2 linked regions of the Daphnia pulex genome follow. The main gene of each other region encodes a partner of the protein of the gene in region 2 in a complex. Links are inferred from orthologs where the notes say so. Each region holds a gene or a part of one and is shown on either strand. Other genes may lie near its edges.

Evidence for each region. Proteins that work in one complex are often made in the same cells at the same time.
Region 1: eukaryotic translation initiation factor 3 subunit F-like (region 2) and eukaryotic translation initiation factor 3 subunit J-like share a complex: the UniProt entries of both Drosophila melanogaster proteins name them as parts of the eukaryotic translation initiation factor 3 (eIF-3) complex. The link is inferred for Daphnia pulex from reciprocal best matches to the Drosophila melanogaster genes eIF3f1 and eIF3j.

The regions. Positions count from the first base shown.
Region 1 is NC_060019.1:7,842,639-7,846,726, forward strand, and holds eukaryotic translation initiation factor 3 subunit J-like, read right to left. Parts: upstream 2,715-4,088; 5' UTR 2,650-2,714; coding exon 2,628-2,649; intron 2,495-2,627; coding exon 2,400-2,494; intron 2,156-2,399; coding exon 2,096-2,155; intron 2,033-2,095; coding exon 1,840-2,032; intron 1,752-1,839; coding exon 1,581-1,751; intron 1,518-1,580; coding exon 1,327-1,517; 3' UTR 1,253-1,326; downstream 1-1,252. Other genes in the region: coiled-coil domain-containing protein 39-like, read right to left, coding at 1-113, 426-545, 617-691; secretory carrier-associated membrane protein 2-like, read left to right, coding at 3,056-3,112, 3,282-3,389, 3,449-3,550, 3,611-3,692, 3,759-3,887, 3,977-4,088. UniProt on the Drosophila melanogaster protein: Component of the eukaryotic translation initiation factor 3 (eIF-3) complex, which is involved in protein synthesis of a specialized repertoire of mRNAs and, together with other initiation factors, stimulates binding of mRNA and methionyl-tRNAi to the 40S ribosome.
Region 2 is NC_060026.1:11,479,413-11,483,925, reverse strand, and holds eukaryotic translation initiation factor 3 subunit F-like, read left to right. Parts: upstream 1-1,837; 5' UTR 1,838-1,889; coding exon 1,890-1,998; intron 1,999-2,170; coding exon 2,171-2,459; intron 2,460-2,526; coding exon 2,527-2,618; intron 2,619-2,676; coding exon 2,677-2,927; intron 2,928-2,990; coding exon 2,991-3,074; 3' UTR 3,075-3,121; downstream 3,122-4,513. Other genes in the region: transcriptional adapter 2-beta-like, read right to left, coding at 85-316, 384-625, 692-930, 994-1,150, 1,209-1,268, 1,413-1,510, 1,584-1,590; cyclin-dependent kinase 1-like, read right to left, coding at 3,358-3,610, 3,679-3,842, 3,905-4,060, 4,121-4,416, 4,482-4,513. UniProt on the Drosophila melanogaster protein: Component of the eukaryotic translation initiation factor 3 (eIF-3) complex, which is involved in protein synthesis of a specialized repertoire of mRNAs and, together with other initiation factors, stimulates binding of mRNA and methionyl-tRNAi to the 40S ribosome.

The DNA of each region.
Region 1 (4,088 bases), on a different chromosome or scaffold from region 2:
AATTTTTGGTTGATCCGTTTAGTTTCTTGCTCTATGGTTCCGGTTTCGGTGCTCGCCAAATTTAGCGCTTCCCGTTCCTGGCGTACTTGATTGCGAATATTTTTTGCCAGAACCTTTGATTTAAAAATTTAATTTATTAATTAAAAGTTAAAATCCATGCTTTCTTCATCAAATCAATCAGCCCTGCATGAAGTATAAATATGATATCCATGGTTAATTGCCTCGTTAATAACGAGGTGATTAAGTGAGACTTGTCTATGCAGAAATTGCTTTTACGTCATGTCATCTTCTGACGCATTTTCAGACAACAGAACAACATTTAATGATACAAACTTTGAACACAAAACAAGCAGGAAAAATCTGTTTAGCAATATGAAAGTTGTTGGACCGTGAACCATGGCCATCATGAGCAGATCTCTACTTACATGTGTTTGTTGTGTGCTTTGTTCAAGCGTCGTGAGATCTTGTTCGGCAGTTTTAACAACATTTTCATTTTGATCGAGTTCCATTAGTAGCTGAGCGAGTTTATTTCGCTTGTCTCGGACCTGTGTACATTGATATACGATTTAATTGAAATCAATTCTGGATTTAAAATACGGGAAAACTTGTTGCTTACATTTTGTTGAAGCAGTCGGTTTCTTGCGTTTGCTAAAGGCAAAAACTCTGCTCCGTTAACTTCTTTTAGTTCCATTTTCTTGCTCAACTTGTGCTCTATCACTCCAGAAATTCATTAACGAACTTTCTCACAGTGAAACGCCATATAACGAGTTAGAAGTATCGACCAAACAACCACTTTTATGCCACTACTAGTCTGCTACTCAGCAGGAAACGCACGTGCTTCATTTATTGATTAGGCATGCAGCCGGCTGCCACGGCAACGATTTCCATTACATTTTAAAAACAAAACCCCCCTAATCCCCTCTCTTACGCCCACTGGGTATCAAATAAGGATTCACCAGTATACAAATTTGCGGGGTACTCAAAACTCAAATTTAAAAAAATAAATATTGAAAGTTATTTGCTTACTTTTGACAGTGTGTAGCATTCAATGGGACAAATACATCTAACTACATCTAACTTTACAACTGTCACCATCTCCTTTTTTGACGCTAAAAGTAGAAAACTGGAACGTCTAAGAAAATATGCAACTTAACTCTATATATTGAATTAGAATAATTAAGAGGGAGGTTTTAACTTTTAACAGAAATTCAATCTCAATATATCTTAAAACACTGAAAAAACTGACAAGAGCAAAATGGCAAAATCATACATTTATTTTACCAATAAACCTTTTCCCGCCAAAAACAAAAGAAAAACAATTGGACCCTACATGAAGTCGTCATAGTCTCCTCCTCCGAAATCATCACCGAAGTTGTCGACCATTCCTTTGTCCATTTTTAAAGCAACTTTTGTTTTTCCTTTCTTTCCACCTTTTGTCGCCGCCTTCACCATCTTGAGTTTTTCTTCGTGCAAGGATTTGGTAGTTAGACTAACTTTTCTAAGGACTTCGACTTCCACTATGTTGAAAAACTGGGATGTAGAAAAGTTTTTAGCAACCAACATTAGAAAATGTGACTTACATCCAATGCAAACATCTTTAATGAAGTCCTCTATAAAATCATTATAGCACGCTTTAGTTGACAATGACTGAAGTTTTTTCACCAAGTTGTTCTTGAATTCTGAGAATTCCTCTTTAGATGAAGGGTTTGCTTCATCTATGCTTCCCTCTGTAGGCAAACTACCAGTAATTCCTGGAAAATAAAAATAACATTGAGAACAAAATATAAAACAAATCATGCTTAGTGCAGGTCAGCAATACAGTTTCCTAAGACAACTTACCAAAGGTTTCCTTGGCCATTTCAAAATCTGATTCTTCAACTAGTTTTTGTCTCCGAAGCTTTTCTGCTATTCTCTCTTCAGGTGTCATGTTTGCTTCCTGCAATATTTTTCTGGCTTCAGCTTCTTCTCTGCTTTTCTTTTCTTTTTCGGCTATTTTTTCTTCTAATCTTTTACTTGACTTTTTTTTGGTAGCCTGAAAGTAACAAACACATTTTAAATTTTTTGGATACTTTTACGAGAGATCACATGTACTTACTGTGGCTGCTGCTTTGACTTCAGCAGGCTTATTTTCTGTTTCTTCATCTTCCCAGCTATCCTATCATTTATAAACAAGAAAAAATGATAATTTTGAAATCAATCACAACTTTATGTAAAACTCATTGAGCAATAAGAATTTTTTGGCAAAAGAAGACACATGGTAGTCAAGTGAAAGTTGTAAGAATTGGAGCAGAAATAGAAAGGTACTGAGAGAACTTTTTTTCACTACAAGCGCTACAAGGTTCTACCAAATTTGTAGATATACTTACTACTAATATCATCACAATTGAATTACAACTCACCTTGACAGGTTCATCTTCATCCTCACCTTCCCATTTATCTGAAATTATGGCAGTCGTAACTGGAACAGGGACAGAGGGTTCAAAATCTTCGGCATCTATAATCACCACAAAATCGTATTTGATTAGAGTATACGATTAAATGGAACTTTGATATGCACTATTGAGAATTTCATACAAAAAACAGGTGGAATTGAATAACTTAATATAGAAATAATTAAATAAAATCACCCCAATCCGCCTCGGCCTCCATCTTCAACGAAAAATCGTGAACACACTAGTGTCCATGGCAGTTGCCAAATGCTTTCACTTTTCTAATAATGTTAATATGTGCATTACAAAATATTAAATATAGAAACCTAACAATAATTAAATTTTGAAACTTTATTGCAAACCTTTTATTATGAATTATTTAATTTTTTTTACCTGAGATATCTCGTTAATCCCAGCGTTGCTTAGTCTAGTGTTTCTGTCTTCCAGAGGCGCTAGTGTTTGCCTGTTTCCGAACTGCTTTTCTCTGACATTACCTGTTATTTAGCAATTGATAGGAGTTTCTGTCTGTATTAGTTGAGTTGACGTTTCACGGTGACCGTCGAAACAAAAGTTACCGCAAATTGGAGTAACAAAGTGACCGAAGTTAAAAAAAGAAATATTTGATAATGTCTGGATTTGATCAGAATCCTTTTGCAGAACCGGCTGTTTTCAACCCGTTTGCGGTAGATTATTTATAATATGTATATTATACTTACTATTACCATACTAATACCTTGGTTGAAAACTGGTGATTCATGGAGTACTCGCCGCATACAATATGAAAGAAAACCTTTTGAAAAATCACCTTGTTTATTAGTTTAGTGGTAAAGTGGTTGTTTACTTTCACAATAGGATCCATCTGTCCAGCAAGCTGCAGGAAACAATGCTGCGAGAGCTCAGCAAGGTCTTGAAGAATACAACCCTTTTGATGGTAGTAATCAAACTACCAGAGTTTCAATGGTAAAACATAATTTTATCATGAAAGTGGGAAGTGTGTTTGATTTGTTACAAAATTTAAGGACCGTGTTGGTGGAGCCAATCCACCCCCAACAATTCAAGCTGCCCCAGTGATATCTCCAGGACCACAACAACAAGCAGCTATGTCAAATGCGGATTTTCAAGTATTAAAACTTAAAAAGAAAGAAGGAAATCTTTATTCATTATATTGCATGGTTTTATAGAGACGTCAAGAAGAACTAGAGAAGAAAGCTCAAGAATTGCAGAGGCGAGAAGAAGAATTAAAGAATAATGTACCATTCAACTGTAGGAGAGAACAAATTTAAATGAAACTTTACTTTTTAATTTCTGTTATTTACTTCTTCATTACAGCTCAGCGCAATAATTGGCCACCACTGCCTGACAAGTTTTGTGTCCAACCATGCTTCTATCAAGACATCAATGTGGAAATCCCACTTGAATTTCAAAAAATTGTCCGCATGTTATACTATATTTGGATGCGTAAGTTAAACATATCATAGATTTCTTGTTTAAGTTTATTTTTGTTATCAGAAACTTTTATTGATTTTGTTTTGTTTCTTTATTTTCAGTGCACACCCTCATGTATCTTCTAAATGTTTTGGGCTGCTTAGCCTTATTCATTCAAGTGGGAAGTGGTGCCATGTTTGGCTTGTCAATCCTATACTGCATCCTTTTCACACC
Region 2 (4,513 bases):
ACAGGTAAATAAACCAGTCGCACACTCTTACTATCGCTTGACGAAACTATGCAAGCAATAGTACAGACTGGGAAAATTGCTTACGGATTTCCGGCGCTGGCGCTCCAACCGGGCTTCTTTCTTTCTTTCACGGAAGTATCGCAGTCGTTCATATTCAGTACATTCCTCATGTCGAGTTAATCCATTCCTACGGTATTTGATTAGTTCTCGAATCCGCAATCGCAAAGCTCTCTCTTTAGTTAGATTGCGTAAGAATTGCTCATGCTCAGGTGCCGTGTGGAATTGGGAAAACGAACGAAATTTTTCTTGCGTTTCTCTGTACAAGGAAAAAAATGTAACTGTTTGTAATGAATCTATAGTTAACTAATTGAAACATGAATTACTTTTCCTTTTGGGACTCCCTTTTTTTTGCGGCAGTCGTAGGTTTTTCCTTCTCTTTCTTGATAGCGTTAAAAAATTGGGATACCAGTTGAAAATCCCGAGCAACCCGCTTCCTTCGGGCTCTTTCCCTCAGGCGGCGAGTATACATATCGACTTGAGCCAGTTTTAGAGCCAAATCAATATCCTCGTCGTCATGATTAATGGCAAGATGAGAAACAATTGCCTCAGCTTCATTGTCATGTTCCTACAAAAAATAAAAATAATGTTGAAGTTTTTAAGACAATTTGTTTCATGACAAATTAAGACCCACCCTTTCAAAATCATCTCTTTGAGGCATGTATCCAAGTTCTAATGTTTCTTCAGGTTGAATAGCTAAAGGTGGTAGTCGTGATGTGATGGATGGAGATAGAGGTGCATTATCTGGACAAGTGTGATCAATTGCTGCCAAGCGAGACTCTCCACTTGCGAGAAGTCCATTTGGAAGCCCTTGCCATGTTAGTTTACCTATTGTTCCTGTGACAAATCTATCACAGTACTGTTCTTTGCATTCTGTAAAAAAAACATAATTGGAGAGTAACTGATGATAAAATCCTGATAAAAATCAACAATTACTTTCTGAATCCCGTGTTTCTACATGTTTCGCAACATCTTCCCAATTTCCATAACCAAACTGTTCTATTGCATCAAGTAACTGATAGTCTTCCCTTGCAATCCAGCCACCTTCATCCTCCCTTTGTTGGTCAGGAAAAATACTAAAAGTACCAGGATCCTAGAAATTAAAAATAAAGTATTTATTGAGAGTTTGATAGAAAAACTTAAATACTCACTATTAATCTATATCCATGACTACTTTTATGTGGTCCAATTTCACAGCCAAGAGAGAAACACTAGAAAGAAACATTGCAAAACTGTGTTATTAAAATAATTCAAATTCGCCGCCGACCAACCGGCAATACCACTCCGGTGGGCGTCATAACAAACAACAAAGAAGGAAGGGGAGGGATTCATTCAACGAAGATTTTATACCACACCTGTAAACAAAGTTCGTAATCGACACAAACGTTACATCGGATTCGAATGCCAAGGATGTCGTCCTGACAGTAGCCACATCGATGCTTCATAAATAAATCTGAGGAATGGATACAGAAAGAAAGATTTTCAATTTTCGAAAATAAGGATTCAACGAGAGCATTTTTTTTTACCCGCCATCTTTAGCCTTCCCTTCCCATCAAGAACAACTAAGCTATGCCAACGCTAGCGAAAGCATTGGTCGCGCCCTCTGGTGACTGAGAAGTGAGAAGTCTTTAAAAAATAATTAAAATGACGTGTAAAATTTATAAACAATGTACACCGTACATTTTATTAAATTAAATTTTTTTTAATGTATAACGAGACGTGTTTGGTAAATAGAAATAATTCAACGTATTATATATCACCAATTGGCAACTAGTTCGTGTCGGCTTTTTCAGCTCCAATGCGGTAGTGGTCTGCAAAAAAAGTCACGCAAAATGGCTCTCAATCTGACTGTCAAGTTGCATCCTGTTGTATTATTTCAGATTATTGACTCTTATGAGCGTCGTAATCCTGATGCACAGAGAGTAATTGGAACGTTGCTTGGTAACATACAATTTAGATCATCCGTTTGCTTTCGCGTTTTATTGTTTTTTCGACTGTTGACACGTGTATCGGTATCGAGTACCTGACAAAATCTTTGGATTATATACCTAAATTCCTATAATATGCGAAATCGAAGTTGTGATAACTCATTTTTCATATTGATTTTTTCCAGGCACATCAGATAAAAATGGTGTGGAAGTGACCAATTGCTTTTGTGTGCCTCACAATGAATCAGAAGAAGAAGTGGCTGTGGAATTGGACTTTGCCAAGGATATGTATGACTTGCATCGTAAAGTTAATCCCCAAGAAAGCATTGTAGGTTGGTGGGCAACTGGTACTGGAGTCACATCTCACTCTGCTCTTATTCATGAGTACTACTCCAGAGAGTCCTCCAATCCTGTTCACATTACAGTGGACACCACATTGCAAGATACCCGTATGGGAATCAAAGCTTATGTCAGGTACATGCTATTAATTCAGTATGATACAATTGCTTTGAAAAATAATTATCTTTAAATTATCATCTAGTGTCCCAATGGGTATCACAGGCAAAACTATGGGATGCATGTTTGCTCCTGTTTCTGTTGAGATAGCATGCTATGACCCAGAAACTATTGGATGTAATTATAATAGAAAATGTGTATGTATACTGGGAATTAATCTTTGATTGTTTTTCAGTAAATGCCTGCCAGAAAACCAAAACCTCGGTTAAACGTCAAGCGGGCATCGCTTCGGATCTTACTCAGATTGTTGAAGCCTCGCAGCAGATGGAAAACATGCTGGACACTATCTTGGCTTATGTTGACGACGTAATGAGTGGCTCCAAAACGGCTGACAACACGTTTGGTCGTTCTCTATTAGATATGGTTCATTCGGTACCTAAAATGACACCCGACGAATTTGAAGAGATGCTTAATTCAAACCGAAAGGTAGAAAACATTACCCAATATTTACTTATTTAATCTAATTTTTGTAAAACTTTATTAATTTAGGATTTATTGATGGTATTATATCTATCACAACTTACCAAGACTCAACTGTCGCTGAACGAAAAACTCACATTGTTGACAATTTAATTCAGAACGTTGATATAAAAAATAAAAATGAACATCTCCCAATTAAATTACAATTTTCTGATGTAGTCCTCGTGAGCATATTTATTAGGAAACTATAGTATACAGTCACACGTACACAAGGGGGAAGAAAATTTCTTCGCTACCAAGGAAAAGAATCACACCCATCTTCTCTCAGAGAGCAAAAAAAATGATGATTAGGAAAAGCGAAAAACAGAATTTCAAGAAACGACCATCAGGAAGTTGGCCAGGTTTAGTAGCTATCGTTTACATGAGGAATGCTTAATTAAGCAGGCACATTGGTGGGTAAGATAGATTTATCCAGATCGGTAAACCAAGCATGATCTAAAGCATCCTGAGCCGTGATACGAAGGGCTGGATCGTAAATGAGAGTTTTTTGAAGCAGATCAAATCCAATCGAGTCAAGTTGCTTCACGGAATTTTGAAGGTGGTAAGTATTCCAATTAGGGAAAGTAGGTTTATAGTCGGGCATTTTTGAAACGCCTGGCCACATTTCCTCCGTGGGCGTCTTCATTACTCTGTGTTTCAAATAAAATAGGAACAAATGTAATTTTAAAAATAAAAAAAAAAGGACAAGTAACACTACCGGAAAATACGGTAAAGCTGATCAATTTCCGAATCTCCTTGGAACAATGGCTTTTTCGTTATCATTTCAGCCATAATACAGCCAACCGACCACACGTCTATGGGGCACGAATATCTTGATGACCCAAGCAATACTTCAGGAGCACGGTACCATAGAGTAACAACCTTCGTGAGTTCAAAAGAATTTATAGTATACGTCCATGCATTGGGAACCTTCTTTCCTTTACCTCGTGAGTGTAGACACGAACGGGAACTCCAAATACGCGCCCAAGACCGAAATCAGCTATCTTAATAATTCCGTTTTTATCGATGAGTAAGTTCTGGGGCTTCAAATCTCTATGCAAAACTCGACGTCTATGACAATATAAAATGCCTTCCAAAATCTAGAGGGAAAATATAAATCAGGCCAATATATAAATGAGTCCTAAATCTTCTAAGCAAACCTGGTGGCAATAAGACTTAACAAGAGTTTTATCCATCAACTGCCCAGTTGGAATGCTGTCCATGTACTTTTTAAGGTCCATTGACAGGAACTCAAAAATTAAATACAGCTTTCCTTCTTGCATCAAAACATCCTCCAGACAGACGATATTGGGATGTAGCAGCTCTTTCAAAAGTGATATCTCCCTGATGGCTGTCGAAGGAACACCATCATCTTCATTTTCAAGCCTGATTTTCTTCATGGCAACAAATTGTTGAGTCTTACGGTTTTTAGCCTTGTAGACAACACCATAAGTACCTTTGCGAAACAAAAGTTTTAAAATCAGTTCAAGTTACACAGCTTAGTGTACCAGGGATCATTACCTTCACCGATCTTTTCTATTTTGGTAAAGTCT